Linked DNA regions of Neurospora crassa OR74A. The protein of the gene in region 1 purifies or fractionates together with the protein of each later gene. This does not show direct contact. Links are inferred from orthologs where the notes say so. Each region holds a gene or a part of one and is shown in the gene's direction. Other genes may lie near its edges. The genes, in order: NCU06105 and NCU04115.

Evidence for each region.
Region 2: the proteins of NCU06105 (region 1) and NCU04115 purify together in Saccharomyces cerevisiae (affinity purification with western blotting; 3 studies listed by BioGRID). This does not show direct contact. The link is inferred for Neurospora crassa OR74A from reciprocal best matches to the Saccharomyces cerevisiae genes GGA2 and CLC1.

Annotation. Positions count from the first base shown.
Region 1 is NC_026507.1:1,776,933-1,793,191, reverse strand, and holds NCU06105 (ADP-ribosylation factor-binding protein GGA1), read left to right. Parts: upstream 1-6,816; 5' UTR 6,817-7,396; coding exon 7,397-7,942; intron 7,943-8,004; coding exon 8,005-8,692; intron 8,693-8,754; coding exon 8,755-9,257; intron 9,258-9,374; coding exon 9,375-9,581; 3' UTR 9,582-9,912; downstream 9,913-16,259. Other genes in the region: NCU06102 (hypothetical protein), read right to left, coding at 1-150; NCU06103 (mitochondrial translation initiation factor), read left to right, coding at 698-721, 834-4,470, 4,545-4,696; NCU06104 (RLI and DUF367 domain-containing protein), read right to left, coding at 5,036-6,301; NCU06106 (hypothetical protein), read left to right, coding at 10,723-11,120, 11,176-11,299, 11,356-11,820, 11,885-12,340, 12,602-12,887, 12,943-13,040; NCU06107 (hypothetical protein), read right to left, coding at 13,578-13,822, 14,266-14,365; NCU06108 (UPF0135 protein), read left to right, coding at 14,894-15,102, 15,171-16,038. UniProt on the Saccharomyces cerevisiae protein: May play a role in the regulation of membrane traffic through the trans-Golgi network.
Region 2 is NC_026505.1:4,892,141-4,907,497, reverse strand, and holds NCU04115 (clathrin light chain), read left to right. Parts: upstream 1-9,041; 5' UTR 9,042-9,292; coding exon 9,293-9,335; intron 9,336-9,408; coding exon 9,409-9,644; intron 9,645-9,731; coding exon 9,732-10,187; 3' UTR 10,188-10,391; downstream 10,392-15,357. Other genes in the region: NCU04118 (aspartokinase), read right to left, coding at 1-442, 537-617, 713-825; NCU04117 (ATP-dependent permease MDL2), read right to left, coding at 3,272-5,671; NCU04116 (DUF618 domain-containing protein), read right to left, coding at 6,833-7,620, 7,675-7,875, 7,998-8,089, 8,176-8,273; NCU04114 (hypothetical protein), read right to left, coding at 10,608-10,669, 10,734-10,794, 10,912-10,999, 11,172-11,176; NCU04113 (hypothetical protein), read left to right, coding at 11,880-14,627. UniProt on the Saccharomyces cerevisiae protein: Clathrin is the major protein of the polyhedral coat of coated pits and vesicles. In yeast, it is involved in the retention of proteins in an intracellular membrane compartment, presumably the trans-Golgi. The yeast light chain is important for cell growth.

The DNA of each region.
Region 1 (16,259 bases):
CGCGATGTAGACATGCTTCTTGGAGAGAGAAGAGGTGAAGGGCTTGAGTGAATCCGGGGCGATGCGGAAGGGTTTGGGCGGCTCGAGAGCACCGCCGGAGCTGCTGCTACCGCCGCCGCGTGCTCCTTTGCTCGTTTTCTTTGGCGCCATGTTTGGCGACCTATGTGGGTGTATGATGAGGGAATTTGGCGAGCAAATGAAAGAAGACAGTATAAAAAAAAAGACGGTGAAGGAATGGAGGGAAGTGGAAGTAGGCGGCTTCGTTGAAAGAAGCTTTGGGGTTTGGGGCCAGATTTCCGGAGGCCAAAAGGGTCCACGTCGGGGTACGTGCCTTGTATTGTTTGTAAGCCCCTGAAGCTGACCTCTGCTCAAAAGCACCTGCCTTGACCCTAACCCGGCTCCTAAACTGCTCGCTGGACAGCTGCCCCTCACTACCTATTCCTACAACCCAGCACGTACAGGAAGTACCTCTACTGTAATGCTGTTTTATCTTATCAGTCACTGGGTGCCCACTTTAATATTGAAGCGCTGCGCGCTGCAGCACCAGTAACGACCGGGAAGCTCTGGTGAACTGCGGGACGGAACGGATCGCCCGTGTAAGTTACAAAATTCCACCTTGGCTGTCGCGCCAGGCTCTTGTTCTATCTCCTCTCTGGTCTGGTCCTGCTGGGCAAACTATGCCCTGTGATAGAACAAGATGATGAGGGGCGGACTGTTGCAGGTAAGTGCGGTTCCCGATGCGCGCATTGCTCAATGACGACGACGTCAAGCAGGAACTTGAAGTCAGTAGAAGTCAAATAGATGGCTGACATGGAAACAACCACTGGAAACAGAAGCAGAGCACTTCCTCTGTGTGTTTGCTCTGCCGCCACAGATGGCAACTTCGCCAGCAACAGCAGCAACGTATCTATCCGAATACCCGCCGCATATACTCTTCGTGGGACGACAAACCTAGCTGGGGTACCCAACAACAGCCTGCGACACCGAGCGCCGGAGGAGGAGGAGGAGGAGGAGGATGGGGTGGTTCCTGGAAACCGGCCGCCCCTGCGACCCCAGCCACTCAAACGACACCCGAACCAGGAACGGCGCAAAGTCAACCCAAGTCCGCCAACGCTGGTTTGCTTCCTCACGAAGTCGCCGCTAGACAGCGCTTGTTGCGCATGGCCGAGGCCGCTGTGGCTGCTCAGCCCGCTCCACGTCCCGCTCGAAACCCGGCACCAGAACCTCCCAAACGCGCCTCGAGTGACCGTCCGGTGCGCCGGCTACCTGAAGGTCAACAGAACGAGTTCAATAGGGCCCCGCCTCGCAAGGAACAGCAGGGACCTGTGGTGCGTAGGATGCTTCTGCACCCGAAACAACCAGGTCAAGACCCTACAACAGAAACACCAGGACCCAAAACTGAGCGTGAAGCCCAAAGAAGCCAGGCTCCTGTCCGCAAAGTTTTAGAGCCTTTTGGTATAAGACGTTTTCCAGCACGGGCGCCTCAGACTCAACAGCCAGCTCCTAAGGAATCACCTTCCAGTCAAACGGCTCCTAGGGAACCGACCCCCAGCCGACCGACACAGTCCCTAGCAAGTACAAGTCAACCAACTGTCAGCAGTCTATCCAGCCTTTCCAGCGGGGCATCATTAAAGCCGGGCCCAGCCAGCCAACTCAGTGAACAAACTGATGGGGCCTCGGGGGAAAGCAGCTGGGATGCTTTGGAAGCCGCCAGTTCGGCGTCCAGCCAGCCTCCTAAGCCCGCCAGTGGAGAATGGGGAACAAGCAGCTGGGGAGCAAGCAGCTGGGGCGCCTCTTCAGCCTCCAGTCAGCCAGCCAGCCAATCTCAGACAGAACGACTCCTCCCCCACGAAAAAGTAGCCAGGGATCGGTTACAGCAAAGACATGCTCAGAGCCACCCTCAGGCCCCAGCAAGAAATCTGAAGAGCCTTGCTGATGGTCTTTTTGCCCATGATAGACAGACAGGTCAACTTTCGGCCAAGGATCTAAGGAAACGCCAGGAGACAGGTTCTCTCAAGAACGACTTGCTGAACGCCGAGGAAGAGGAGCGTCGTGCGGACAATACAGATGCATGGGATGACATATTTTCCACTCAGCCTCCGCCTCCCCCGCCTCCTCCTTCTACACGCAGAACTTCAGCTCGTGAGGTTTACCAGTCGATTTCATCAAAGTTTGCACCTCCACCTGCACCTCCATCGGATTCCAAATCTTCGCGTGAAACCGAGGGGCAATGGGCAGGGCTCATCCGCCGTACAGCCGGGGCAAACGTTGGGAACGGCCGATTGACTGGTAATAACGATTTTGTCAAGACCGCTCCCCCTTCTGAAACTGAAAAACGTTCGGAGCCCAGAGATAGTCGCAACTTTTGGAAGCAAGCTGAAGATCGATATGCAACCAGTCCAGCACCTCACGCGCAGCCTGAGACGGCTTCCGAGAGCACTCGGGAGGCCACCGAAGCGTTCAAGAAGCAGATGTCGGATGGCTGGGATTGGGCTGACGACTACGGAGGGAAGCCTAAGGAGAAGGAAGGACAAAAGCTGGAGCAGCAAGACTTTGAAAAGCCCAGGGGCAGGGATAATGCAAGACAGACCAGAGGCGATAGGGTTGCATTGGAAGAGATACCGATTCCCTCGCGGTATATCAAGGAGGAAAAGAAGCCCAAAAAGAAAGGGGGTAGGCGGCGCGACTACAACGAAGACGATGATTTCGATGATATGGCGTATGAGTACAAGCGTCGTGAAAGGTTGGCCAAGAAGGCTGAGAAGGAGCGGCTCCAGTTTGAGGAGACTGGCCCCATTCCTATTCTCCTTCCCGAGTTTATCAGCGTTGCCAACCTCGGCATGGCCCTTGGCGTGAAGACCGACCTGTTCATCTCCCAACTGGGAGAACTCGGATTTGAAGACATCGCCAAGGATAGCATCATGACCGGCGAGACGGCCGCGTTGGTTGCCCAAGAGTACGGCTTTGAGCCAACAGTCGACGCTGGTGAGGATGAGGACTTGAGGCCACGCCCTCCTTCTGAAGACCCCTCTAGCGTACCCCTACGGCCACCAGTTGTCACTATCATGGGACACGTCGATCACGGCAAGACTACTCTGCTCGATTTCCTGCGGAAGTCTTCGATCGCAGCCGGTGAGCACGGTGGAATTACCCAGCACATTGGTGCCTTTTCTGTGCAGATGTCCTCGGGTAAGCAAATCACCTTCCTGGATACCCCCGGCCACGCTGCCTTCCTATCCATGAGACAGCGCGGCGCCAACGTCACCGACATTGTGATTTTGGTTGTCGCCGCCGACGACAGTGTCAAGCCGCAGACCATCGAGGCCATCAAGCATGCTCGATCCGCCAAGGTACCCATGATCGTGGCCATCAACAAGATCGACAAGGACCAAGCCAACGTCGAGCGCGTCAAGTCTGACTTGGCCGCCAACGGCGTCGAAATTGAGGACTATGGCGGCGATGTCCAGGTTGTCTGCGTCAGCGGCAAGACCGGTCAAGGTATGGACGATCTCGAGGACAACATCCTTCTTCTGTCCGAGATGCTCGACATCCGCGCCGAGCCCGACGGCATGGCTGAGGGATGGGTCCTTGAGTCCAGTATCAAGCCGATTGGCCGCGTGGCCACCGTGCTCGTCAAGCGCGGCACTCTGCGCCCCGGCGATTTTATCGTTGCCGGCCGTGTCTTCGCCAAGGTGCGCAGCCTGCGCAACGAAGCGGGCATTGAGGTCGAAGAGGCTCCCCCCGGAACAGCCGTTGAGATTCTCGGCTGGAAGGAACCACCCGAGGCGGGTGACATGGTTCTCCAGGCCCCTAACGAAGACAAAGCCAAGAGCGCGGTGCACTATCGCATCGAGCAGAAGGAGCGCGAGGAGGCCATGGAGCAGATTACGGAGATGGAGCGGCTCAAGCGCGAGCGTGAGGCCGAACGAATCGCGGCCGAGGAGGCTGAGAAGGGTGAGGATGGAGCCGAGGCGGCAGAGGAGAAGCCAGATGGGCCCAAGATGATCAACTTCACCGTCAAGGGCGACGTACACGGTTCGGTCGAGGCCGTATGCGCGTCGATCCTGGAGATCGGAAGCAACGAGGTGCGCCCTCGCGTGCTACTGTCGAGCCCGGGCCAGATCACCGAATCGGATGTCGAGCATGCCGCGGTTTCGGGCAGCACCATCATCAACTTCAACAACCCGATTCCTGGCCACATCAAGCGCATGGCGGTCGAAAATAAGGTTAGGATTATGGACCACAACATCATCTACAACCTGACCGAAGAGGTGCGCCAGGTGCTGAGCGAGAGCTTGGCCCCCACAATCTCGTTCAAAGTACTCGGCGAGGCCGAGGTGGCGCAGGTGTTTGCTATTAATATCAAGGGACGGAAGTACAAGAACATTGCGGGCGTCAAGGTCAGGAACGGGATGGTGATGAGGAATGGGCGGGTGAGGTTGCAGAGGAAGGGAGAGGTTGTTTTTGATGGTGAGTCGATCATTTTCTTTTTCTTTTGTGGTCTTATCTTGTTACCAATCTTGCTAATCAACAACAAAACACAGGTACCATCAGTTCAGTCAAGCACGGCAAGAAGGAGGTTACGGAGATGCGCAAGGGCACCGAGTGCGGTCTCGAGTTTGGCGAGTTTGACGACATCAAGGAAGGAGATCTCATCCAGGTTGTGGAGGAGATTAGAGAGAGGAGGTATCTGTAAAGGATTGTTATCCTGTTGTACAATTATTATACATGTACGATTGTGCAAATCCTGGAGTTATGAGAAGATGGGTTGTATCTGTGGGAAAAAGATGGATGGTGGTGGATATAGATAGTGTTGCATATACCAGCAGCTGCCAATGTATAGACATGATGGCACCACGTCAACAATGGTGCATGTAAGAATTGATCGAGGGTTTGATGGGAAATGAGCATGGTCAGCTTCATGACTTCATGGGGTAAACAGTAATGCATATATATATACTCCTTGTCTCGTTGTATAATTCTCCTGATTTCATCAAGTGCCCCCATCATCATCATCATCATCATCCAATCTCCTTTATCTTCCTCCTCTGGGTGCAGATATGGAAGCAGACGAGAAGGTGCCTGTCAACGTAGCCCGCGCCCGCTCCTTCTCCAGCTTCTGCAGTCCTATCCTATCGGTAATGGGCGTAGCAGCAATGATATTGTCAAACTCGTCATCCTCCTCCCCATTGTCGGAATCCGGCTCGGCATCGGAATCTGGTTTGTACTGCCCTTGCGGTCGGGCAATGGTCTCGACCGTCTTCTTGGGCGGTTCGGGGTTGGCAAACGATTTGGAGGCGAGGATTTTGCGCCGAATGGCCTCCATCTCGGCTTCATCATCGCTATCGTCGGATATGGCGAAAGGGTCCTTGTCTTCTTCCTCTGACTCCTCTTCGGCTGGTTGTTTCTGTTTGGGCGGTGGTTTGGTGCCAAGGTAGATACCGTCTACGCTGCCGTCTTCGTCGTTACTGTCTGCCTCCTCATCGCTATCTTCCTCGTCGTCTTCGTCGTCGTCCTCCTCATCTGAGTCATCCATAGCTGGCCTCCGATTTGTGTTTCCGGTCGTCCAAATGTCATCCGACTCTCCCTCTCTGCTCTCAGTATACTCTTTTTCTAGCCTCTCCCTCCACGCCTCCTCCGCCTTCTTGATCTCCTCCTCATCCTTGCACGCCGAGTAGATCTTGAACAGCTTCGAGTTGATATCCAGGAATGCCCTGCCGTAAGAAAACGGAGCCAAAATCTCTTCCGCCCACTCCAAATGACCACAGATGGCAAAGGCCGCCGCCAGCGCCTCCACGCAGTTCAGCCGAAACGGCTTACCATAGTTGACCGTGTTGGCCGCCACGAGGTACGGCAACAAGCGCTCGCACTTGCCGCCCACCTTTTTCCACTCCACCTCCTTGGTGCGGGCCCACGAGCACTCCACCACCGCCGCGCCATACTGCTCCATCAGCTCCTTGTCGGCGGGCGACACGACCCGCTTGCCGTTGGGCGTGATGATGACGCCCGAGTGTCGCTGGCCCAGGTGCAGCTCGCGCATGAGACCGAGTTTCATCAGCTTCTTGCCTGAGCACCGCTTCGGGTCGCAGTGGCCTAGGTCCCAGCAGGCGGCCTTGAAGGGAGGGCGGTAGGGGCGTGAGGACGTGGACGGGTCGTGAGGGTTGGCTGTGGTGTCTTCGCCGCCGCTGCCGGCATTGTCTCGGGGGCCTTTGCTGCTGCGGGGGTTGTTGCGGGGCGCGTTCCGACCATGGCCGCCTTTGCCGCCGCGCGAGGAGAAGCCGTCCTTTTTGTGGCGGACCATAGTGGTGATGGTTTGAATTTCGTCGGGAGGATGGATGTTGTCGAGATGGAGTGCCGATGGTTTTGGCTCTGGGGTTGAAGCTTGTAATTGACGGACTTTTTTTTATGTCGCAATGGATGGATGATTTTGGCACGACCTAGCACTGCCTTGCTTTACCAGGGCAGAACTTGGATGGAAATATGCGTGCCGTCTTGGACCACAATGCGAGCTGCTTGCGCTACAAGGTTGAAGTGGCAGATGGCGAAAAAAGTTATGGATGCGATTTGAAGACCTTGACGACATCGCATTTGGGGTTCAGTTGGTGCAGGTGGGGTGGACAGGTGGGTCCGCTGAGGATGTCCATGATTGACGTCTTCCCCGGATTCATGCAACTCACCGATTGTTGCTGCGGAAGATGCTCGATTCGCAAGCGTCTGCCGCGCTTACACCATGCTGGAGGCGCTTGTCGAGGTGCTGTGGATTGAAATTGCAGTGTATTATTCATCCACAAAGATAGTATTCTTGTAACGCAGTCTCGCAACGTACCGATGTGCGGCTCCATTTTTCCTTGCGCCCCAACAACCTCAACGGCAGGCAACAGCGCAGGCCCAAGCCCAACCCGTCCGTCCAGAGCACTGAGAGGGGTCCACGACCTGACCTAGCCGTGTAAGCTCCCGTCCCCTAGCAGCAGTAGGCCTCTCCTCCTTCCATCAGCCAGCGATCCAGGTGGACACATTCCCGTTACCTCTAGGTACAGAAGTTCGGATCGAATCATAGTCCAGTCTCTGGGTGTATAACGAAGTATCAAACTGTAGTAGTACCATACCATACCTCTACTCACCATACTTGGTAATAATCCCAACGGCTTACCGGGAAGAGGGGGAGCTTCACTAGGTACCTACCTTACCTCTAGCACACAACTCCTCTAGACTACACTAGAGCTTGACCGACCAAAGGCTTGGTTGGGTCCTGGTTGCCGCCATCCATTACCTACCTATCCAGGCGACTCCCGCCAAGCTGCGCAATCTGGCCCCAATACCTCCTCGGTCTCTTCAGTCTCGTCAGTCTCCTCATCCACCACTCAACACGTCCCGACTCCCCGAGAACGCCGGCAACATGGAGGCGGCGTCTGCCCGCTATGCCACGCGCGACCGGTGGGCCGAGATGGGCCGCCCGGCCCCGTCCCAGCTTCAGCGCTTCATCACGGCCGCCTGCAGTCCCGACAACTACGAACCCAACTTGGCCCTGAACCTCGAGATCGCCGACTTGATCAACTCCAAGAAGGGTTCCGCCCCTCGAGAGGCCGCCGTGGCCATCGTCAACTACATAAACAACCGCAACCCCAACGTTTCGCTGCTGGCCCTCAACCTGCTCGACATCTGCGTCAAGAACTGCGGCTACCCCTTCCACCTCCAGATCAGCACAAAGGAGTTTCTCAATGAGCTGGTACGCCGCTTTCCCGAGCGGCCCCCGATTCGCCCCACCCGTGTCCAGCTCAAGATCCTCGAAGCCATTGAGGAGTGGCGCTGTACGATTTGCGAAACGAGCAGATATAAAGAGGACTTGGGCTTCATCAGGGACATGCACCGCTTGCTGAGCTACAAGGGGTACACCTTCCCGGAAGTCAGAAGGGAGGATGCTGCTGTGCTTAACCCGAGTGATGTAAGTGTTCCGTCCCGATTCCATGGGTCATTGTTGAAGCGTGTCTAACCTATCTGTCACAGAACCTAAAATCTGTCGAGGAAATGGAAGAGGAGGAACGCGAGGCGCAGTCCGCCAAGCTGCAGGAGCTTATCCGTCGAGGTACTCCCGAGGACCTCCAGGAGGCTAATCGACTCATGAAGGTCATGGCTGGCTATGACACGAGATCCAAGGTGGATTACCGCGCCAAGGCGGCCGAGGACGTGGGCAAAATCCAACAAAAAGCGAGACTTCTCGAGGAGCGGTTAGAAGCCTTTCAACCCGGCGACAAGATCGTGGATGGCGATGTGTTTTCCGAGCTCGCAGCCGCCCTGTCTAGCGCCCAACCAAAGATCCAGAAGATGTGCGAGGAAGAATCAGACGACCATGAAGCAGTCGCAAAACTTCTCGAAATCAACGACAGCATACACCGAACTGTGGAGAGATATAGGTTGCTGAAGAAGGGCGATATAGAGGGTGCCAAGGCATTGGCAAGTGGCGCGCCAGTTGCAAGCACAAGCAACGGCAGTGGAAGTGGTGCTGGCAAGAGTGCGGCGCAAGAGCTGTCGCTCATTGATTTTGATGCTGAGCCAAGCGGGGGGGACTCGACCAGCCAGTCCGCACCCCAGGGAGGAAACAGCCTCGACAACGACTTGCTTGGCCTGTCGCTGGGTGAAACCAGCTCTTATGGTCAAGGAGGTGGCATTGCCCTCGGGTTCGGTGCCAATACGAGTATGTCACTCGCTGCTTTCCGTGCAAGAGTCAAAGAGAATGTTGCTAACAGATCACCACAGACATTCCTGGACCGGCACTGCTCTCATCCACCACGCAGAACAGCACCGCACGGGGCCCCTCCCCTCAACCTGGCCCATCCTCTTTCAACAATTTCAACTCATTCGCATCACCAGTTGCTTCTCAATCAAGCACCCCCAAGCCTCCCGCGTATACAGCATCCGCTTTTTCCGCGCCAGCTGCGTCGTCAACAGCGTCCAACGACCCATTTGCTGCTCTAGCCTCTCTCTCCTCTTCATCTACCCCGGCGCCAGCGCCAGCACCAGCTGCTACCGGTAATGACGATGACGAGTGGTCTTTCTCCTCGGCACTGCCTCCTGAGGCGACACCCGCCCAGCCTAAGGAGCACAGAGCCGTTGTTTCTAACACTGCGCTCAAGGTCGACATGGTGGCTGTCAGATCTCTGTCCAATGGCCCATCTCCAGCCATTTCTATGCAATTTGCTTTTAGCAACAACACAGCGCAACCCATCACCGAGGTGCATTTCCAGTTGGCTGTCACCAAGGTAAGCTCACTAATCTGACCCTTGGCACTTTGACCAAAAATGTTTTGGGCTACGTTATGTGCCTTCGTCAGTTGTAGAAAGCCCTCAAGCGAGATGCTAATTGTGATGCTTGAACAGGGATACGAATTGCAACTTCAGCCTCAAACAGGACGGACTCTTACCCCCAAGCAGAGCCGGGGCATTACCCAGTCAGTCAACGTATGGTATACGGCGGACAAGACCAGGAAGGTAGAGAGCGTGAAACTCAGGTGGAGGGTATCATACAAGGTTGGAGCGGAAGCAAAGGCCGAGATGGGTGAGATTCCCGAGTTCAGTGTGGCATAAGCAGGAACTTTGGTAAGAACGAGGGCCACAAGAATGAGAACAGGGTTGCGTGCATGTTTACGTTCAAAATTCATTCATAGTAGTACAGAGCCAATTAATATGTAGTGATCCGATGACCGGCAAGAACAACAAGAATATCGCTGCGGTCGACTTTTCTGTTTACTGGGAGTTGTTCGGCTGGATCAAAGAAAGGAGACGAAGGACATATTAGCCACAGGTAGCTTGTCTGTCCCTTTCGTTCGGTGGATGGCTACCTACTTACTACCTCATACTTCATGCCTCTTTCCTCTGATATGCGACCGACATATTGCAGGCAACCTCAGTCACTTCACCTCACAGGAGTCGTACTTACCAGCTGGGTCAAGGTTCGTAGTTGCCACTTCCCATCACTTCTCACTTCTCATCTTTCTGGGGGTTTCTCATTTTGAGACGAACAAGACTCCCCATTCTCTCATTGACAAGTGTTCCAGAAGCACGACCTCCAGCCACCTTATTCTCCGCTCCTAGAAATCCGGCTGAACATTTCTCTTTACTCGACGTCTCTACGGCGGGCTATCACGAACCTTTTCGCCCTTGTTCATTCATTATTTTGTGGCATTTGCAAGGCCCTGTCAGATTATCGTCGTCCATCAAACGGAGTACACACTTATCCACGATATTCAGCTTACATTAGTGGTAGGATATCGATGAGCGATCAGTTTTCGAAAAGCACGAGCTTTGAAGCATGGTTGCCCCAACTGATCCTCGTCCCGGTCTGTCTCTGATTGAAACTCCCCTCATCCATTACTTTGTAATTTGCACACTCATTATGAAACCCTCTAACAATCCGGATGAACTGCTCAAAGCCATGAAACTACACCACGAACTATATATCGCGAATCTTCGGCTCCTTCATGAACTGACACTCAATCTCAACTCCCCTACTGTTCTCCCAAGTAGCAGTGGGATTGAACGCTCACGTATCCACGACAGCACCCCGTCTACGCCGCCTAGGGGCTCGACTTTCTCCCACGACAATCTTTCTTAGTGCACATTCGGTTCCAATCGTTATTAACATCAAACGAACGAGCTGCATAGCTCGAGACCATATAACTTTTCAACTCAAGCGCCTTCCAACGACAGAGCATCTCAGACGCCCACAATGACCGACAACGATGGTGATGATCTGCGGAGCCATTCCTTCTGCACCGCCAAGCCAATCGAGCAAGAGTCTTTTACGGAGCAAGATTTGAGAACCCATCTGACATCACTCAATAGTACCAACTGGGCTTTGGAAGAAATCCTACAGGTTCGGCGTGGGGATGAGTATATTAGTGCCCCACAACAATCTTTGGAACCATGGGAAGAAAGACGTGACGGCACATACAAGAATGCCACATACGAGGTATACGAGATACCCGGGAGTGGTGATCAGAAGTGCATGCCCGAGCCCAAACACAAAAAGAACGGAGACGACCCTCAACAAGTCCTCAGCGTCAGTAGCGTCTGGGACACCCTCAAAGAGGTGAACATAAACGGGAAGGCGGTCGGAAGAATAACGTGAGTGTGTATTTGCTATTGCGGAATTTTGAACACTCTTGTTGACGGGATCAAGTATTCTTCAAGAGGTCCCCCCTCTCGTGCTCGGAGCAGTCCATATGACCATGCGGAAACACTTCGATATGGACGAGCTATTCCAGCACCTCATTTCCAGTGAAGGAAATAACGGAAAGACCAAAGTGCGTGATACCATCATTCAATTAACTCGTCGATCTAACAGAACATACCAATCTAGGCTTATATGGATCGAACTACCGAATCCAACCCGCTAAGGCACAGGTCATTCTTCTTCGTCTTCAAGTACTATACTGTTGTCAATGAGAACAAGTGCACCCCTGCGCCGTGGCAACGTTATGATAGACGTCCAGCCGACCGAAAATGGCCCGACCATGTCGACATCGCAGAGTGCAGCTCAATCTTGGCATTATCACTGGGCGGTGATCCAATCAAAAAGTACCGGGCACGGGTGAAGAAAAGAGATATCAAGGACCATGTTATTTTTGACACATCGGCACCATGGCAACTTCTCAGTATCCAATGCTTCCCTGATGACGAGCACACGATGAGGAGCGAGGGATCAAAACGGCCGTTATGCAATGGCCCACTTGCATTTCTGGATAGCTTGGCTCTTGAGTACCATGATGCCGTTACAAGATACAGCCAGATCAACGACGAGGTGACAAAGCTTATCACACCGCCAGTAAGAACTCTGTCGCTTGAGCAATATACCAGACTCACCACTAACCTAACATACTTGTTCATAGAGCCAATTCATGTTCAACTCTGAACTTCGGGACGGCCTTCTGTTTGAAGACGAAAACTTTTCGTATTCCCGTCGTTACTTTTGGGCATACAACACTCTCGGTGTGATCAATGTAGGGATCGACTCGATGGTGTCAGCCTACAAAGAGACGTTCACCCAAGAATTCTGGGAAGGGAAAAATGAGAAGCTTTGGGCGCACCCATACCCAAACACGAGTGATGGTCAAGATTATGCTAAATGCATGGGAGTTCTTAGACAGGAGTTGGATAGGGAAGTGAAAAACCTGGAGATGGTGCGGAAGAGGAACGAAAAAACACGAGACGAGATTTCGTCGCTGAGGGAACAGTTGTTTAGCGGGAGCAGCGTCAAGGAGTCCAGAAGGGCCATTGAGCAGGGAGACAACATCAAGATCCTTACCATGGTGTCGATGCTCTTTCTGCCTTTAACTTTTGTAACTGTGAGTAAGCTTCCATTTTTTCGTATTCTTCTGATTCCTCACTCTCCCCTCTTATCATACAATGTGCCGAGTGTCCGTCATTCCCAGCCTGCGTTGTATTCACTACCATATATATACCTACGCCCCCTTGCCCGCTTTTCTCTTTACCCAACCTGTACCTTGCACCCTATCTTTGACAGAAAAAAAGAAGGCCTGTTTTTTCACCCTGACTTGTGTTGCTATGCATTTCAAGAAAAAGGTTCGCTACTAACTCGATCTCAGTCCGTTTTTGGTATCACCACTCTCGAGATATCGGTCGATGACTGGCGCTTTCCTGTCACTCTCATAGCGGTTTGCATCCCTTTTTTCATGGTCATATTTGTCCTCCAGACCCGCTGGGGCATGAAAATGGCTAAGAATATGGGAAACCGGATTGATAGATATACCAGTGAATTGTTTAATAGGCCGCCCTCAACGAACCCATGGCAAACGACTGATGACCATGGTAGGATGAGGGAATGTTCGTCCACGGCCAACGGAAACGACGTTTTGGGTGGGGGAAGAGATGGTCGGAAACGGCCTGCGCTCAGAGACAGACGAACAAAGTCTGACTCCCCATCAAGATTCTCTACCAGGTCTGGAGCAACAAGGGGAGGATTTCGACATGGTCTTTTCCATCAGCATCAGATATGTGGAGGCGGTTCATGGATATGGACAATGATGGAACGGATAGGAGGACTTTTCGCCTCGATGATAAACTTAAATCGGTGGAGTTGGCTTCTGTGGCGGAGGAACAAAGAGAAGACAGACGATTCGGCTTCAGGTGAGGGAGCAAGTATCGAGCAGGTGTAATTGTCCACGCCGGAATGTAATGGTTCGTAGAGAAATGGAGGGCAGGCGAGTGTCGAGTAGGTATACACCGATCAGATTCCATTTTCTTTCTCTCGTCCTAGGTACAGCGCGGATCAAGTCCCATAACAGGCAGAAACGTAATACACCCAGCAAGGATTTGCACATTGCATTGTATCGCCATGGTTCGTTTCCTGCTGTCATTCCTTCCTATCTCCCACCCTTGATTCAGAAGTCTCCCACGAGACTACTACACGCCGCCCTTTTTGGAGCAATACGCGCTGTTTTCATGCCCATCCAGGTACACCACCCACTACAGCAAGATTTTCCTTCTGGACTACTGCCACCTCACTTCGTTCTCTTTCCTTCCCCTTCCCCTTCCCCTTTCTTTCCATCCTTTCACATCACATCACTCGGTCACACCCTCCACCTTGCCCTGAGCATTCGTCCCGTCCATGGGCGGGCCGTCGTTCCCGCCCGTCGCCGCCTTTTCTTTTGCGTACTCGTCGGGGGTCTGGCACTTTGCGCTCCACGCGTGAATCCGCGCAATTTCCTCCTTGAGCGCGGCGTTGACGAGCCGGTGCCGCTTGAGCGAGTTCTTGCCGACAAAGTCCGGAGAGACGATGAGAGAGGTGAAGGAGGCGCCGCAACCGCCTTTATTTTGTTGGAAAAGAGGGAGGTGGGGGCTTAATTTAGTATATGTACTTGATTCTTTGGGGGGGCGGGGGCGGGGGCCGAAGGGATGGTATGGGTTGATGGAGGGAAGTAAGCAGAAATGTGAGGGAGGGTGGTAACGGTGTGTGTGGTTGGGGGAGGGAGGGAATGGCAAAGATCTTATCAGATCATCAGATTGTTCATTGAGCTTCCGGACTCCGGACCACCATCCGTGACATGACGTCAGGGCAAGGGTGCGGGAAGGTAAGTAGGTAAGTAGTAGAGGTAGGTAGGTAGGTGCTCGATATGTATGTGTGTGTTTGTGTGCAGCATATCGAAGTCGGGAAACAGGAGGGAACCGGACGAACGGTTATGCAGTGTACCTAAACAACGGACTGGGAAAGAAAACAGAAAATGTAATGCCGTGAAATGCATGTACGTACCCGACATGTCCGTTACTTCCACGTGAGTGGCATTGAGCCGCGTCTTGAGGGCGGCGGAGAGGAAGTCCTCGGTTATTGCTGGTTCTTGGTTGTCGGCCATTTTTGTGTATTGTAGTATGGTGGTATTCCTGATGTCTGATGTACGAGGAAGTGGTATTTGGAGATCCGTGTTGTTTCGGAATGGCGTTGCCAAAGATTGAGTGGATGGGGAGAAAGACAAAATCGATGAATAATTGACAGGGACCAGCAACCTGAAGTGAGAGTGAGAAAAAGATGCCCCGCGAATCGAAGGTCTTGGCATGTTTGGAGCTTTTACTGCAGTACACTAAGGGTTAGGGTTGACAGCGGAGAGATGGGGAGCTTTGCAAGGTTCGAACTCGGGAGGGAGCTTCACCTTCCCCCACCTGGAGCTCTTCATTCGATTCCGGGTTCAGTTGTAAACAAACACTTCACTTGGATGAATGACGAGGACAAAAAGGTTTGAGTGAAAATCAGATGCATGTTGGTTGGATTTGAACACGAAAAGTGATATATACCTGATTTTCTTCTATTCTCTAGTGAATCCCGCTGACAAAACTACAGCTTGATAATTTCCTGAGCATCAACAACACTTGCCCGGGGCACACTCATGAGTGCAGTCTTCAAGATCCCTATCCGGATCACTTCCAGAATATCTACCAAGCCTCTCGCACTTCCATACAAACCATCAATTCTTCTCCCGGGATATTTTAGAAGAAGCTATTGTCAAAACAAAAACAATAACCCCACCATCACAATGACCTCAACCCTCGAAAGCCCCCAGTTCACCAAGCGGGTAGTTGCCGCCATGCGGGCGCTGTAAGTGCTTTTGACTTCAAGTTCCATTGACCTACCTGATCTTCATGCCTGATACTGACCGCAACCAGCTATCCCGAGCAACTCGCCGACAAGGCCTGGGACAATGTTGGCCTCCTCCAAGAGAACATTGCCGTTGCCGGCCAAGACGTCCCGCAAACCGTCCTCTTGACTAACGACCTCACCGTGGCCGTCGCCGAGGAAGCCATCCGCAAGCGCGCCTCCGTCATCGTCTCATACCACCCCTTCATCTTCCGCGGCCTCAAGTCCGTCACCCTCGCCGACCCTCAGCAGCGCATCCTCCTGCAGCTCGCTCAGGCCAACATCGCCGTCTACTCGCCTCACACGGCCGTCGATGCCGCGCCCGGCGGCATGAACGACTGGCTAGCCGACATGCTCGACGGCCACGGCGTCGAGACCAAGCGAAGCATCTGCCAGCCCATCTCGAGCTCCATCACCGCCTCCTTGCCCCCGGCCTTCTTCAACTCCGGCTACGGCCGCCTCGTCGAGCTCGGCCACCCCGTCTACCTCGGCAACATTATCAAGGCCTACGCCGAGGGCCTCGGCGGGCTAAACCACATCATGATTGCCGCACCCAAGGACAAGAAGGTCACAACCATCAGGAGCGTGGGCATCTGTGCGGGAAGCGGGGCCGACGTGCTCAAGAACTGCGACGCCGATATGATTGTTACCGGCGAGATGACGCATCACTATGCGTTGGCGCTAACCATGAAGGGGAAAGTGGTCATGACCGTGTTTCACAGCAACAGCGAGAGGAAGTTTTTGAAGAAGAGGCTGCAGCCACAGTTGCAGGCTCAGTTGGAGAAGGAGGGCGTTAAGCACCCTGAGGTCTTGGTCAGCGAGGAGGATGCGGATCCGTTTGAGATTTGGGATGTTAGGAAGATGCCCGCTTGGGCTTTTGGAAAGGACTCGGAGTAGACAGACGTCACCTAGAACAGGTGGTGAAAATTGAATGGCCCGACGGAATTTGACTGTTGCGGTCACTGTCACTGGACAATGGGGATATGGTACAGTGATGACGCCTGGTCTAGCTGTGGATTGGGAGGCACTGTACGAAAGTGAAGAGTGCTGGATCTGTGTATCACCTGGACCTCCCGTTGTTGAGCACTTCATTTCCCCTGGCATAGCTGCCGGGTTTG
Region 2 (15,357 bases), on another chromosome or scaffold:
GAGGATCTTCTTGGCGATAACCTCGGCCGCTTCGCGGTAAAAGGTGGCGTCGAGCCGCTCGATACTGGCGTCAAGGTGCAAGACGTCGGCCAGGTCGACGTACTCGGCGTCGACTCCCCGGTCTTTGAGCATGCAGGCCATGAAGCGACAGCTGAGCTTCTCGCCAAAGCTGATGACTCGGTCCTTTGCCCGCGAGTTTACCTCGAGGTGGAACCGCTTGGCAGCTTCCAAGTATTCGATCAGTAGCTGGCACTCTTTTACCGTCTCCTCCTTCACGATGGCTGCAAGCTCGGCGTCCTGGATGAATTTGTCGGCCGCGGCGGTGTGGTCGCTGCAGATGTCCTGCATAACTCGCTTGGCGTCCTTGAGGAGGGCATCTTGTTTATGCTCGTCACTTGCATATGCGGCAATGGCTTTGAGATTCTTGAATACCTCCAGTAGCCTGTGTAGCTGAGTTAGCTGCTGGTGTTGGCCACGGACGGAAGGGGTTGAGTTGAGTGATGAGTGAGGGTTTCATAATGAGATGCACCACTCACCGACTGGTGGTCCCAGTAACCTTCTTGCCCGTACTCCTTGCTGAGCAGACGACTACTAGCCTATGGTCCTTCACATACGCTCTGTTTTCAAAGTGAGGTCAGTCACAGGGCCCTTGTTAACCAAGCATTCATGAGCGGTGTGACACCACACCCAGATTTCCCCCCATTGCCCTTACCTGATGATATCCTCTGCGATTCTGTCGGGGAACTTGCCCACGCTTGTGCCACCGAATTTCTGCACGATCCAGCCATTGGGGCTGTCGTTCTGTAGTAGTTGGGGCCCGGCCATTCTTTGTTTTTAGGTAATGTATGAAAGGGTATATATGGGGTATCTCAGGGATGAGTGAGTGAGTGAGCGAGGATTATTTCCGATGTTTAAAGAGAGAGAGTGTTTGGTCTTGAGACGTGGTGCTCAAGTGACTCAGCCAGCGCAGAACGAATGTTCCGTTGTCCCTGGTCGTTGCGAAGTCGGCGCTCTGCAAAGGGGAGCCAATGATGCTTTGTCCAGGTTGCAGTGTTCCAATGGAAGGGTCGCAGCACAGGATCGTTCTCGAAACCTTAAATTTAGCGGCCCGAAGAGTGGAATTGGCCGCGCCAATGGGTGTATCCGAGGTCGCTGCAGGGTACGAGTGCCGCTGAAGTCAAGCGAGGGTAGTATCAACAAAGATTGACTGAACTGAGGCAAGGCTGTGTGAGAGAAAATGGGTTTGAGATAAAAACAAAACTCGATGTCTTGGAAGCCAAGAGCCAAGAAAAAAGAAGAGTTGCTGTTCTCTTGTTCCCTGTCGGACCCCTTGTCCGGAGCTGAGTCGGGCGTTGCGGGGGTGGGGTCTGTTGTCGGCCAGGCTCTTGGTTGTTTCTGTTCGCCCGTGTTAAGTACACTAGAGGTATAGAGGCAAGATAGGTAGGTAGTAATCATCCAGTACAACGACAACAGAATACCTAGGTATGTAGTGTAATGACCGTTCAAGAGGGGGTATTACCTTGTAAGATCCGTCTCACACTATTTCTCTGGAGCAAATTAGCCCAAGTTCAGTGTAGAAAGAAGACAGTACCTCCAAGCAATCTGAGCATAGGTATCTAGGTAGATCGAGTAAGGAAAGCGAGCAGAGAAGCGCAGGCCCCGGCCGGGCTTCACATGAAACACAGTCACCGCATCTCACTAACAACCATATTCCAGAACTCAACCGGGGGCCCTTCATCGATCATTCCCCACACCATAATCATTTTAGTGTACGAAAACGAACAAGAGGACGGTAGCAACATGACCGGCTGTTCTCCAAGGGGTTTCTCGTTCCTGGCGAGAGACAGGGCTCCCTCCGCAACATTCGAACTTCAAACAAAGTACATTTGTGTTAACTCTTGACGACAAGATGCACCAAAACAGCTCCTTGGCTAGCAGCGTTGTATCGCAGTGACAACCTTGAGGTGAGTGGGGATGTTTTTGCCTCGGCGGGACTGTTTGGACCTGGATGCTGCAGTGCGGCGTTTCTCCTGGTGGGTCTTTCAAAACATTGGTCGCACTCGCCACCACCACCACCACCACCACCACCACCACCACGATGATGCTGACGACATGGGAGGCTCCGGAGGACTCGGGCTACGCTAGTGAAAAGGAGACGACAACCCGATTCTGGGGTTTGTCAATTTTAGAGTCTATAGTTAGTGTCCCATATAAACCCTTCCGAGGAACCTTTCTACGGAAACTGCGGAAATTGACATATGACATTTGGGGATCCGGCAATGAAGAGCAAAAGGACGATTGAATAGCAGGAATTTGGAAGACCTCTGTTTTCGCCAAATTTGTTTGATATGGTACTGTATCTTGTGTTTTAGTCCCACTGACCACTACACTCATTCATGCTCGACAACCCGTGGAGCATTTATTTTGAGTGTATAGAGAGTAGCCTGTCCCTGATAAAATTGTTGAGATTTTCGCTTATACCTTGGGTATACTCTGACTACGCATTTCAGCGTCTTCAGTACTCCTTTGGACTCAATATTTAGGCTGTTCTTGGACAAACATACCCCAAAGGGACTTTAGTCTAGCCGATGTGTTTTCGAATTATTATAAGTCCTGTAATAATTTTGCAACGGCCTTTTTTGACCACAATGAGCGTTTATGGGACTGGTTTATAAGACCAGTCGGTCGATCGCCCACTGAAGCAAAGGTCTCATTGATTCTGTCATAGACGAGACGATGTAATTGCCAAATGTTCCTTATTTGTTTTTATCTATTCCTTCTAGTACTCCAAATCGGCTCTCCCCAAACCTCCCCAGCAGTGCCGTTCTCCTTCGCTCTCCAGCATCCGATCTATCATACATCGTACATATAGCTATCCTAACCAGCCATCCATGATCGGGTCTAGAGTGGAGAAAGAGAGTGCCCTAAAAAGGAGATCTGAAAATAATAATAACAAACATAGCAAGTAAAATACGTGACATGTACACAGTAAAAAGGTGACGATGCCCTCCTCCTCTGAAGCGAGCATCGCGTGAAGCATGGACCTTGACTTTTGGTCACTTGCTCGGCGGGTATATGGTAGAAGATGCGGGAGATTCATGCCTGGGTCTGGGCCTGTGAGGGATAAGATATCTCTCTGTGTCAGCGGCCCGACCGGGGAGCTTGTCCCACGTGAGTAAGTGGCTGACAATGCCTCAAACTCATTACCATCTGCTGTAGACTGGGGTGTGGGAGTGTGACGGATTGCTGAAAATATCATTCAGCCATCACTTTACTCCCTCACTGGCTCCTTGTGCGACTTCACATCCTTCTCCACCGCATCGTCAACGTCATTCTCCGCCTCCGCAAATTCCTCCTCAATCTCCTCAACCTCACTGACATGAGGATCCCCAGAGGGAGGGCGGTGGTCCGGGGAGACATCACCACCGCTCATCTGCCACTCCATCAGCTTACTGAAGTGGCTGTCCTTGTTGGCGCTCAGCTCTGTGTAGCTGCCAATCTCAGCCACGGTACCCTCGCTCGAGAGCACAATGATCTTGTCAGATCGCTTAATGGTGGACAGTCTGTGAGCAATCGAAATGGTGGTGCTGCGGCCCTTGAGGAGTTCCGCAAGGGCAGAATTGACCAGGGTCTCGGATTCGGCGTCCAAGGCGGAGGTAGCCTCATCCAAGATAAGAATATCGGGGTCCTTGAGGAGGGCGCGAGCAATGGCGATGCGCTGCTTCTGGCCACCGGAAAGCTGGGCGCCACGGGCGCCGACCTGGGTCTCGAGGCCTTCGGGGAAGTCGCTAATAAAACCGCAGTTGGCCTTCTGGGCAGCCGCAATGATCTCGGTGCGCGGAGCCCGTGGACGGCCGTAAGCAATGTTTTCGGCAATGGTACCCGAAAAGAGGACTGGCTCCTGTGAGACCATGCCGATGCGGCGGCGGAGAGACTTGGCGTTCATCTTGGAAATGTCGATGCCGTTGATGGTGATGCTACCGGATGTGGGGTTATAGAAGCGCAAGAGTAAGGAGGCCACGGTGCTTTTACCTCCGCCTGAAGGGCCTACAATGCACACGTTTGTGCCCGAGGGGATCTCAAAGTCGAGGCCATTGAATATCGTAACTGCAGGTCTGGTAGGGTAGGCGAACGTTACATTCGAGAACTTGATGGGACCTTGCGCAGATTCAACCTTCACACCAACGGTCTGGGGGATGGCCGGCTTGCGATCCTCGAGCTCGAACAAACGACTCGCTGCGCCGACACCCTTCATCAGTTCCGAGTAGAAGCCGCTAACACCGAAGAGACTCGAACCAGCAAAGACAGTATACATCATGAACGAGGTCAAATCGCCCAGAGACATGGCCCCTGAGCGCACAAGGTTCCCGCCGACAATCAAGAGAGCCAGGATCGCCAGATTTCCTGCATACGACGTACTGCTGAAAAAGACACCCGAGACAATGGCCTCCTTCCGGCCCAGGGCGAAAATCTTTCTGACCTGCTTGTTGTAGCGACCCACCTCTTGCACTTCAGCGGCAAAGGCCTGGCTGGTCTTGATGTTACCCAACCGTTCCTCGGCGATCTTCATCAGTGAGCCGACGTTCTTCTGGATCTGCCTGCTCAAGTTGCGAATGTTGCGACCGTAGAGAACCGCTCCAAGACCGATAGGGGGAACCATGATGAGGATAATGGATGTCAGCTTGGGGCTGAGCCAGAACATGGCCGCGAAACCCGCCGCTCCGCTAACCATGGAACGGAGACCATCAGACACGTTCTGAGTAATGCTCTTGCCCACGACAACCGTGTCGGAGTTCAGTCGCGAGATCAGATCACCGACCCTGTTGGCATCGAAGAACTCGGCATCCTGGACGTAGGTGCGGCGGTAGAGATTCGTGCGCAACCGAGCCACGACGCGCTCGCCGACGATACGGAGAATGATGATTCTGCCAAAGTTGGCCGTCGCACCAAGAGTGAGAAGACCAGCGAGGCCGCCGAAGAACTGATAGAGGGTAAGACCGAAGAGCCGAACCTCGCCGGCGGGACCCTGGGTGGAAAGATCCAGAATTCTGCCGATCGAGAAGGGGATGGACATGGTGACCGCGGACGAGATGAGAAGCAGGACGAATGCGACACTCATCGCCTTGACCTCGGGGCGCGCAATCTTGATCAGACGCCAGACCTCGGCGAAGCCGGGCTTGGTGCCTGATTGGGATTTGCCATCCTTGGAAAGACGAGCGCTCATGTTGATATGGGCGGCCTTATGCGCCCTCTCGCTTTTCGTAAAACCGTGTACCTTGAGGTGTTCTTCAGATGTATATTCCTTGACCTTTTCAACGTCCTTTGCCGCCTCTTCTGCTGTCTCTGCCGCAGCTTCCTTGGCCGGCTGCTCCCGTAGGCGAGTTTGTGAGGTCGATAGCTGGCGGAGAAGGCCGAAGGGGGAAGTCCAACGTTGGGATTGTACGCATGGTCGTGATCCGGGATGGGAGGATGAGAAAGGAACCGAAACGATGGTAAAAGATGTCGTCGAGGGCCGCTGAACTGACGAGAACGGACGGCAGAATTTTGCGGACAGAATCGAGGAAGTCATAGTGGGCGATCGTTGGAACGGCAGCAAAGCCGCGAGCCCGGCGCCGCTACCGCCGCATTGGGGGAGCAGCACGGCGCGGCGCACCGCTACCCCCGTAACCATGGCTTGAAGTATATGTGTCTTGGGTAGGTCGAGTGTGTATGTGACTAGGTACTAGGCTCGCTGTATCGTAGAGTTTCGGTGTCGAGTTTCTATCATATCATGTCGGTGTTGTGCAGTGGGCTATGTTACTAATTGCCTGATGCGAGACCGCTAGCGCGCATGCGCGCCTGTTTCTGCGCTTGTCAATGCCCGGTTCCCTTGAGTCCCTGCACTGCGTGCGAATGGGTGAGTTTGGTGATGTGGAATGTGGTTGAGGAACTGTTGAAGGAAACGTGGAGAAAGAAGTGGTGGAAAGGTTCCGAGGTCGAGGGACGGGACGGACGGCGGGGGGGATGATGGAATGAAGTCGGGATGACACCCAGGCAGTTCGGTCGGCTCGGCCGTCGGTGCAAAAACCCTTGCTTGTCCCGGCGGACGGGATCTCAACTTCAGTGGTCAATCGCCGGTTTGGCGCTGCAGCAACTGCGATTGATTCGCCGCTCAAGCTCTGGGGACCACGACGGCGGGAGGGCGGCTTCGATTCCCTTGTTCAATTGTCCCTCTCCCCCCCCCCCCCCCCCCCAAAACAGGGCAAAGCGCGCATCTTTCACCTGCAGTCGGACATTTCGTCATTCAGCAGCGAAGAGCAAGCCACCACCCGACAACGATGCCGGCGGCATCCACTGTCAATTCCGGAATGCGTTCAACGATGTCGGTACCTTCTACAAGTGGCCCGTGCTCAAGCTTGGCCCATTCCACTCATGCCACTTATTTGTACCTCAGGGGTATTGAAGCTGTGCGGACGTCATCAACTTCAAAGGTCATCATGGTAATGAAAAAAGACGAAAAAGACGATCGCTTGTGTAAATGCCGATGATTTTATTCACGATATTTCTACAGCGAACCGAATGGCGCTTTGCCCGTCAAGAATGAAGCATGCCAATAATCCTTAGTCCTGTCCTTCTGTATCTCCACATACTCGCTCCAGAGAAGGTTTCAGGCCCGCGCCAAAATGCCACATGAATGATGATTCTCGCCATACAGCCATTATCGTTCCCCTAGACCAGCAATAACGGCAACAACTCCAGAGTGTTGGGCCATATGCACTCAAACTGATACAAAGGTAGAAAAACTTCAGTTCGGTCAAGTTTTGCTTCCAAAAATCTTCTCCCCGTCCTTGTTCTAAATCGTGCTTTCCTTCTGGATCATCTCGGCGACATCGGCATCTATGCCTACGTCAGGAATGTCGGCAGTCTCGTCGATCTTGCGCTTTTTGGCCTCTCGAGTTGGAACAGACTCATATTGAGAAGCGAGGGCGGACAGCATCTCAATGCCAGGAGCAGATCCAGTTGGGTGAGTATGACCGTTCTGCGGCTGTTGTTGCTCAGACGGGCGATGATCGTAGAAATCGTCGTGATCTTGGACGTGGGGCGGCGTGAGTGCTTCAACCTGAGGACGGGCGATGCCGTGGCCATCCGAGCTAGATGGAGCGCGCTCCTCACCGGTAGCCGGCTCTTGGGTATTGTGAGGCAAACCTCCAATGATGCTGAGCTCAATTGCTTGCTTCTTCTCCTCAACTGCCGTCTTGCGGGTGCCTAGATCCCTGAGCTGTGATTGCTCGGCCTCCAAGGCCTGTCGGTTGGAGCTCAACATCTTCTCCAATGCGCTGATCAGCTCTTCGCGGGTCTTGATGCATTCCGTCACGGCTCCCTCAGCATTGGCAAGGTTTTTAAGAAGCCCGTTGAGTCGCGCGGCATACACTGGCGCCTGAGGAGGAGCGTGGGCCGGATCCATCAGCTTGCTGTAGTCCGAATTGGCGGTAGTAAGGCTTGTCTTCAACGCCTGGGCACTCTTGGAAACTGCCTGCTGTGAGGTAACCAAGGGTGCCAACTCTGGAGGCACCGCTGCAGCTGGCGACGACAACGATGTGGAACCGAACATTGTTCCACCGGAGCGGGCTGAGTCAAGCTCTGGATTGAACAAGTTAGTAGCTTGTCTGCGGAAGGGCTGAGGCCACGGCTTACCTCTTAGTCGAGAGTCTATGGCGTCCTGGACTTCTATGGGGAATATCTTGCGTTCTCTCCAAACATCAACAACCCTTCGGAGCTTGTTCTGGATGTCTGACGAGGCGCCCTTATAAGACAACGCGGTTGCATCTGCGATGAATGGAGAGAAAGCCTGAAGGAAGTCATCCTTGTTGCGAGCTTTGGATTGCTGCGTCACCTCTATGAGAAAGACGAATAAAGTCAGCATTCAGTCCCAAACGAGAAGAAAGAAACCCAGAACGAACGCCGGGGGATGCACATCACATGCAGCCTATGTGGGAGAGCCTGGGAAATGCACGCACCGTTTGCAAGATAAATCATGTTGAGCCTCTTGGGACTGGGGAGGTCCTTCAGCTTGGTCAACCAGAGATGGACAGTCTGGGCAGCATGTCGCCTAAGATACATCAACAGTCAGTTCGGCGGTCGAGACATCAAACAGCAGGTGAATGCGGTCGTCGGTCGTGGGCAGCGGGAGCTTACCGATGGAACATGATCCACTGAGCGGTGGTTGCAATGCTCTCGTGAGTCTCAGTGAGTGCAGAGAGCTTAGAGAGCACAGCATCCTCGTTATACGCCATGGTGAAGCTTTAGGCGAAATTTGTTGGAAAGTGTTGGAAAAAGTGGTTGTTGATGGTTGGTTGGTTGGTGGGTGTGATGGACGGGGCAGATGTTCAAGATATGCGGTGTCGGGTTTATTCAGAACTCATCTACAGCAGTACGAAAAGGTATCCGTGATGTTTGCGTGTAAGTAGCAGGGACTCCAGACGCGGCCGAGTGGTGATCTAGAATATGGATCGAAAGCCCTTGGGAACAACCTCAAATGGCAGAAGCGTGGACTATCAACACAACACACTAGATGACGGCAAGAGAGAAGTGCTCAGCACGAACTAAGCACCTAGTCAAGCTCTGTGGTCCAACTACACCGGAGTCGTTTCCCTGCTATTACCAATGCTGTCACCAGGAAGAGTTTGCAGTGCAAAGCGCAAATGAGCGTGATCTGGATGCTCTGTGACAAACAACTGAAACCACAGCGAGGTGAGTGCTGAATGTTGTTGATGAAAGGAAGAAGAAGAAGAAGAAAAAGAAGAAGAAGGAAGAAAGAAGTTGTCGACGGGAGGTGGTGGGACGGAACGAAGCAGACGTTGGAGCTTCCTCCATCCGTCCAATGCGAGGGCAGGCAGGGGAAGAGGGACAACGGAACGCCTGCCGCACGCAGACAATGGAGTTGCCTGCCGGTACCTAAAGGTAGCTGTTACTACCTCTACGGCTTCCCCTGGCCAAATGGAGAGGCCCAAGAGGGTCGCTGTTACTGTGGACAAGTGCCAAAGTGCCCCAGTGGCCGCTGTGAGTGGCGTCCCGTCGCAACCTGGAACCTGGCGCGATCAGGAGCGCTGGGGTGGGCTGCAACTCGGACTCCCGCAGTGCAACACCAACACCAAAAGACACTTCCATCAAACAACGAAACACCTTGCCTGTTTCGCAGCTTTCTTCGATCCTCCGTCCTACCCAATATTTCCGTTTTTCAGTCCACTTCTCCAGCCTCCAGTCTTGTCCGTTCGCGCCGATCTACCAAAAGTCAAATCACACCACCCACATCATGGCTGACAGATTCCCCTCGCTGGAGGAGTTCGACTCCGGCGGTAAGCTTGGCGTTGTTTGGAGATCCCCTTACCTTGCTGTTACTGCCTGCTAACATTCAAACCCCCACAAAAGCCCAGACCGAGATCAAGGAGGGTTCTGGAAGCCCCTCGGCCTCCAACTTCCTCGAGCGCGAAAAGGCGCTTCTCGGCGACGATGCCAACCAATTTGCGACAGTTGAGGATGCTGGTTTCGACGATGACAACGACCTCCTAGGGGGTGGCCTTGACTCCTCCGCTGGCGCCGGCGCTGGCCTTGAGACTAGCGCTGCTTTCGAGAGCCAGTTCCCCGACCTTTCCGCAGGCAACGAGGTACGACTAAATAATGATGATACCAAAGATGTCGACACAGCACGTAATCATGGTCTTGGGTTCTAACATGGGGCATCTTCACTTTAGTCTGTTGCGCCAGGCGGTACCATCACTGGCGCCGGTCCTTCCGTCACCTACAACTCTGGATATGCGCCATACGCCCAGGAGGAGCAAGAGCCCGAGGTGATCAGAGAGTGGCGCGAGAAGCGTGATGCGAAGCTTGCCAAGCGGGCGGAGCAGTTCGCCGCCCAGAGAGCCGAGACCATCGCGGAGGCGCAGAAGAACATTGACGAATTCTACGAGAACTACAACAACAAGAAGGAGAAGGCCATTGGGCAGACCCGCAAGGAGGCCGAGGAGTTCCTTGCCAGCCGCGAGGACACCACATCGGGAGGCACGAGCTGGGAGCGCATTGCCAAGCTGGTTGACGTTAGCGGCAAGGGAGCTAAGGGCGGTGCTGCTGGTTCCGGCAAGGAGCGTTTCCGTGAGCTCCTGATAAGCCTAAAGAAGGACGAAAAGGCCCCCGGTGCCTCGGGGATTTAAAGCGCTTACTTGATCTGCCCCCATGACAAAGGGAACGCCTGGTTACCACTATTCACAGGTTTCACACCTCCATGGCCACTACTGCCCCATGGCCAAAAAGCCATAATTTTGTAATGATAGAAAAGACTTGACAGCTGCAGCCATCAGTGTTTGGAGCTTGGTAATCGAAGCGCCGAGACCCAATGGATCACGATTTCCACGGTTACAGTAGCTCTCCCAAAGGTGGTCGGTGGAATCCATGATGCAAATAGGGAATATCGGCGTGGCGGCCTACTTCTTGGAGGTATCACCCAAAGCGGCCTGCCCTCTGCCGCCATCTATGCTGCTCTTTGCGACTATACACATATTCAAAGGGATTCTCGTGCTTCTATCATGACCAGTAGCACCGCCTTCGTTGACTATCGTGGTAGGACGGCTAATTTAATCCTCCGAGAACCAGGTGTTGTAGCCGAGAACCTTGCGGGACATGGCGTACATGGAAGCTGATGTACAGTTAGCGGAAGGAGCAAGGACGAAGCGATAAGCCATCAATGAAGGTATACGCACCGCCGAAGGTACCCCACATGGCAATGTTGAAGGTGGTCATGATGATGCCGCTGCGAGGGCCCTGTTCGCGATTTTGTCATCAGCCCTTATCCCGACAAAACCTCCCTCTCCGTCTCTCCCTCTCCTCCTTCCCATCTGTTGATTCCCCAACCATCCTCAAGTGTCGACTTCAACTCACAATCTTCCAGAGGCGGGTGTGGTTCTTGAAGGCCTGCTGGTAGTAGCGCTGCTTCTCGGGGACGTGGTTGGGGGCGTTGACGAGGCCGCTGCAGTCGGGGAAGAAAGAGAGCTGTTAGCCTGGGATTCCAAAATCGTACGACGAACAATAGTGCGTCATGACGACAGGTAATTGGACCTGGGGCGGCGTCCGCAATGCGCGCAGTCGCTGGAGGGTCGTCGGATCGTCGAGGAGCTCGCAGCCGGAGGGGAGAAGCTTACGGCATCTTGAAATTGTTGTCGGGGGTCGTTGGGTGGAAGATTCCGGGGGGGTGATGCGAGGGGTTGGTGTGATGATGTCGAATGCGTGGAAAGGACGGAGAGTTAGCTTTGAACCTCTCACTGCTTCAGGTTTCTCGGCTCGGGGCTTCCTGTGGTGCACGGACTTGTGGATGGTGGAGACTGCAGACCCGACGGCGGAAGCTCTGCCTGCCTGCCTGTTTGCCAGGTGTAAGGTTTGGTCAGTGCTCACAGCTTTCAGCTGCTGCTGATGCCTCGACATTGACCTTCAGACTGAGCAGCTCAGCAGACTCACTGCCTGCCGGGAAGGATGGGGGATTGAAACACATGATCGTAGGATGACTAAGAAGCAAGTTAGGGAGCGATCCCCGGCCACACCTGCAAGGTCCCCTCCACTTTTGTGTCCCCTCCACTCCAGAACGTCAAAGCTTCCAGCCCGAGGAGTTTCCACATCCCCTCACAACCCCATCCGTGGGATGGACCGCCCGCGATACCCCAGAACTCGAGTCAGTCAACGAAGCCCCAGGTACCTCGCGATCTATACGAACGATACGAACAACGACGCCAAATAACCCAGCGGCAACCTCGAAGCGAAAAAGAAAATGAACATGATCGCATCAGACAGCCGCTAAGAAGAGTCCCCGCCGCTCATATGCCCAATTCTCTGTGTCGAGCGGCCACAATTCCATTATGCGAGTCGTGCCTCCTGTGCTGCGACATGTAGCTCGCTCGCGCCGCTCCACCATATCGCACTTATACACGGACGCTGTGCACTTACAGGCGTCTGGACTACCATCATGCGTCAACTTTTCAACGAGCGCGTGCTGGTCGCGGTCGTTGACGGCATACGCACTTTCGGAGACTTTGGCGGCGGAAGAGGACCACGGTGTTCGGAATACAAAGAAGGCACGGGGCTCGGCAGTGCAGGCGCTACCAGGCCAAGCGTCTACCACACACGACCTGTCAGCATGGTCGGGCTTTCGGTCATCCCGCATCGCTAACCAGCCCTTCAACCGTGACGATTGGGATGTCTTGACGGCCACCGAGGAAGACTTGCGCTTCCAGTGTGATGTCCACGCAGATTCGCCCGAAAATGGAAAGCCGCGACTGGTTGACTGGCCACAGTATGCGAACGACATCACCCTTTGGTCGTGCATACTTGAGCACCGCCAGCGCACCGAAGGAGATGCCGGAGTTGCAGCAGTTCTCGAGGGTCTGCAAAAACGGCGAACCTTGACGGAAGTGGAAGGCTCAACTGCCGAGAAATTCTGGCAAGCAATACTAGATGTGGCCGTTCACGATCAAGCAACACTGCACAGTGCTTGGTCCTATGCTGAGTGGCTCCACAGTGACCGCGGAGTCCTTTGGCCAAACCTCTACGCAGGTGTTGTATCTTTCTTCATAGCACAACAGGATACACAGTCAACGCTGCTTTGGCACTTACGCCTAAGCTCGTCGTTTTGCTCCGACTCAGAACCCCTTACCCACGTGCTGAAGCAGTTCATCACTAATTCAGACGCAAAGGTTCGAGAAATCCTACAAGCACTGTACATGACGAGTGTCCGCCAAAACCTCTACGACGAGATGATTCCTTACCTCTTCGCCCAAGGAGAGGAAGGTATTGCCCGTGATTGGCGTCGGCTGTTTATTTCTCACAACGACTTGCCAACAACCGAAGCTTCGCGGCCATTCTTACAGTTCTTGGTCGGCTTTCATCCGAAAATCCAGTTGACTGACAAAGAACAATCCTTCCTTATACCGCCGAGTAAAGCTGCGCTTCCAAGTAGTGCAGACCTGAACAGCCTGTTAAGGGACGACAAGTCGCAAGTTGGTATCAACTTCAACTACCAGATCTCCAAGGGTCTGGGTAATATCTTCGGCATCAAAGAACAAACAGATAATGACAGCTTGGGCGCTAGATGGTTTGCGACCCTCAACTTCTCCATCGAAACCATCATTGGTACAATCTCGACTCTCGGCTTTTCTGAAATCGGGCCACTTTCGTTACAGTCTATAGCCCGGCGCGAACCCTCCCCTGGCCGACTCCTTCATCACATTGCACAGCTGCAAGAGTCTGGAATCGGAATTGGTAACTCGAGCTATTCGAAAACACTACAGCACTTTGCTACAGTTGGCGACGAGGACCTGTTTGACGGTCTTGTCAATACAACCATGCATCCGGAAGAATTTGACAACTTCGCCAAGCACCCTTCATTCCTGAGTTTTGCTGCTGCGGAGGGAGACTTTATGCTCTGTCGGCTCCTTGTGGAAGCTAGCCATCTCAACACAAGGCAGATTCTGAAAGAGTCAACGAATGAAGCATTGTTGGTCTGTTTGAAAGCCAACAGCGCTTCACATATGGTTGGCTTCTTGGATATTATGGCCGATGGAAATATCGAAATGATGCACTCTACGGCCGATGCCATATCAAAACATGTATGCGAAGAAATAGTACCACGGCCTGCGAAAGATGGCGTGGACATTTCCTCCTATGCCACCATGTATAGACGGCTTCTACGATTCGGATATCCTCTCGCGTCCAAGGCTTCTCAGATCATTCTTTTCAGACTCGGACGTGAAGGACTGCATGACGAGCGCGACGATCTTGCATTGGACATTGTTAGTTTCTATGAGGGTACTCTGGGACCCGAGGGGGGCTTTTTCCGAGTTCACAAACTCGATCTACCCGACGCAGTCGCTCAGCAATTGCCCAAGTCAGAAAGGTTTATGAGCCTTCCATCCGGAATGAGCACAACGAGTCCCTACCATCCACTGCATTTGGTTTTTGGTAGGGAGCTCCTGGGGTCAATCATCCGCTGGGGTTTTCGCAGTTCCCGCGGCATGCCTCGGGATGCAACAGAATTTTCGAAGCCAGAACACTTCTTCTTCGCCCGAGGCATCAAGCTCGTAGCAATGCTCAAGGAGAAGGGAGTGCGGGCCGATGACTCTTGGGCGCGCTCAGTAATTGTCCCGGCTCTCACCGTACTTTTGGTTTCAGGCGAGATCAAGCGTTTTCACCGGCCCCCGAAACACGGGCATCACTATGTTACCCCGAAACTGAGGGAGACGCTTTCGCTCAAAGAAGCCATCAGGTTGTGCAATTTTGCCTGGGGTTCCTACGTCCTGGAACGTTTGCCCGAGTTGGTTCACCACTCAATGAAGGAGTGGAAGCTCAAGCTGAAACAGTCCCAGCCAGAACTGTTCATACCTTACAAACGCGAGTATGCGGTGGGGAGCAAGCTGTGGGTGAAGTATGGCCCCGGCGGTAGGCCACCGTTCGCCACAAAACTTAAACATCAACATCGACAGCAACAAGAGGAAGCAGACGCCAATCTAGTCCCAGATGCGCAAAGCTCAAGCGTTTGGAAAAGCTCAAAAGCCAAGACGGAAGACGATTTTTTCCAGGATTTTGAGGGCTTCGATCGCTTCCTCAAGTAACAGTAAGAAGCAGTCAAGCTGCTGCGGGATACACAGTACCGACCTAACTACCCATCATCTACTTCATAATTTGTCCTCCGACTTTCGATATGTGACCGCATTTTGCATGCCTTGCGGTCATATATTTGTACAAATACGCAGAGGGGATCTATAGACGATAGAAAGCACGGATTTCACAAGATCATGGTTAACAGGACATGACGAGAGCAGGGAAGGGAGAGCACGAGCTTCCGCGAGGAGGAACAACAGAACAGAACAATTTTGCTTAGGTCTGAAACAGACAGACGCTTTGCACGAAATGCACATACTGGCAACTTGTTTACATATCCGATTTTCGTTTCAACCGTCCACACACAACAATTTAGCATGATACATATATTCAGGTAGCAAGAAAGATGCTCACACGAGACAGCCACTTCCATCATTGGAGGAAGGGTATTCCACATTAAAGCTCTACCTTCACTAACCAGATACTATATACCCTCTTAAGCAATGTTTGCTCAACCTCATGCCATCCAACCGCCGGCGCTGACTTCCATGACTGGTTCAACGAGGACCAGTCGCCAACAGTACCCGGAGTTCCATGTCTTGTCCCTTTTTCCCTCATTTCTGGGGAGAGCACATTTCCCTTTTCCACTCACTCACCTAAAACGCCGCACAGCCCAGCTAGGTAGGCAGTCAGTATTGCATAAGCCAGTGAGTGAACAAGTGACGTCCAGTTCTGGCTTGG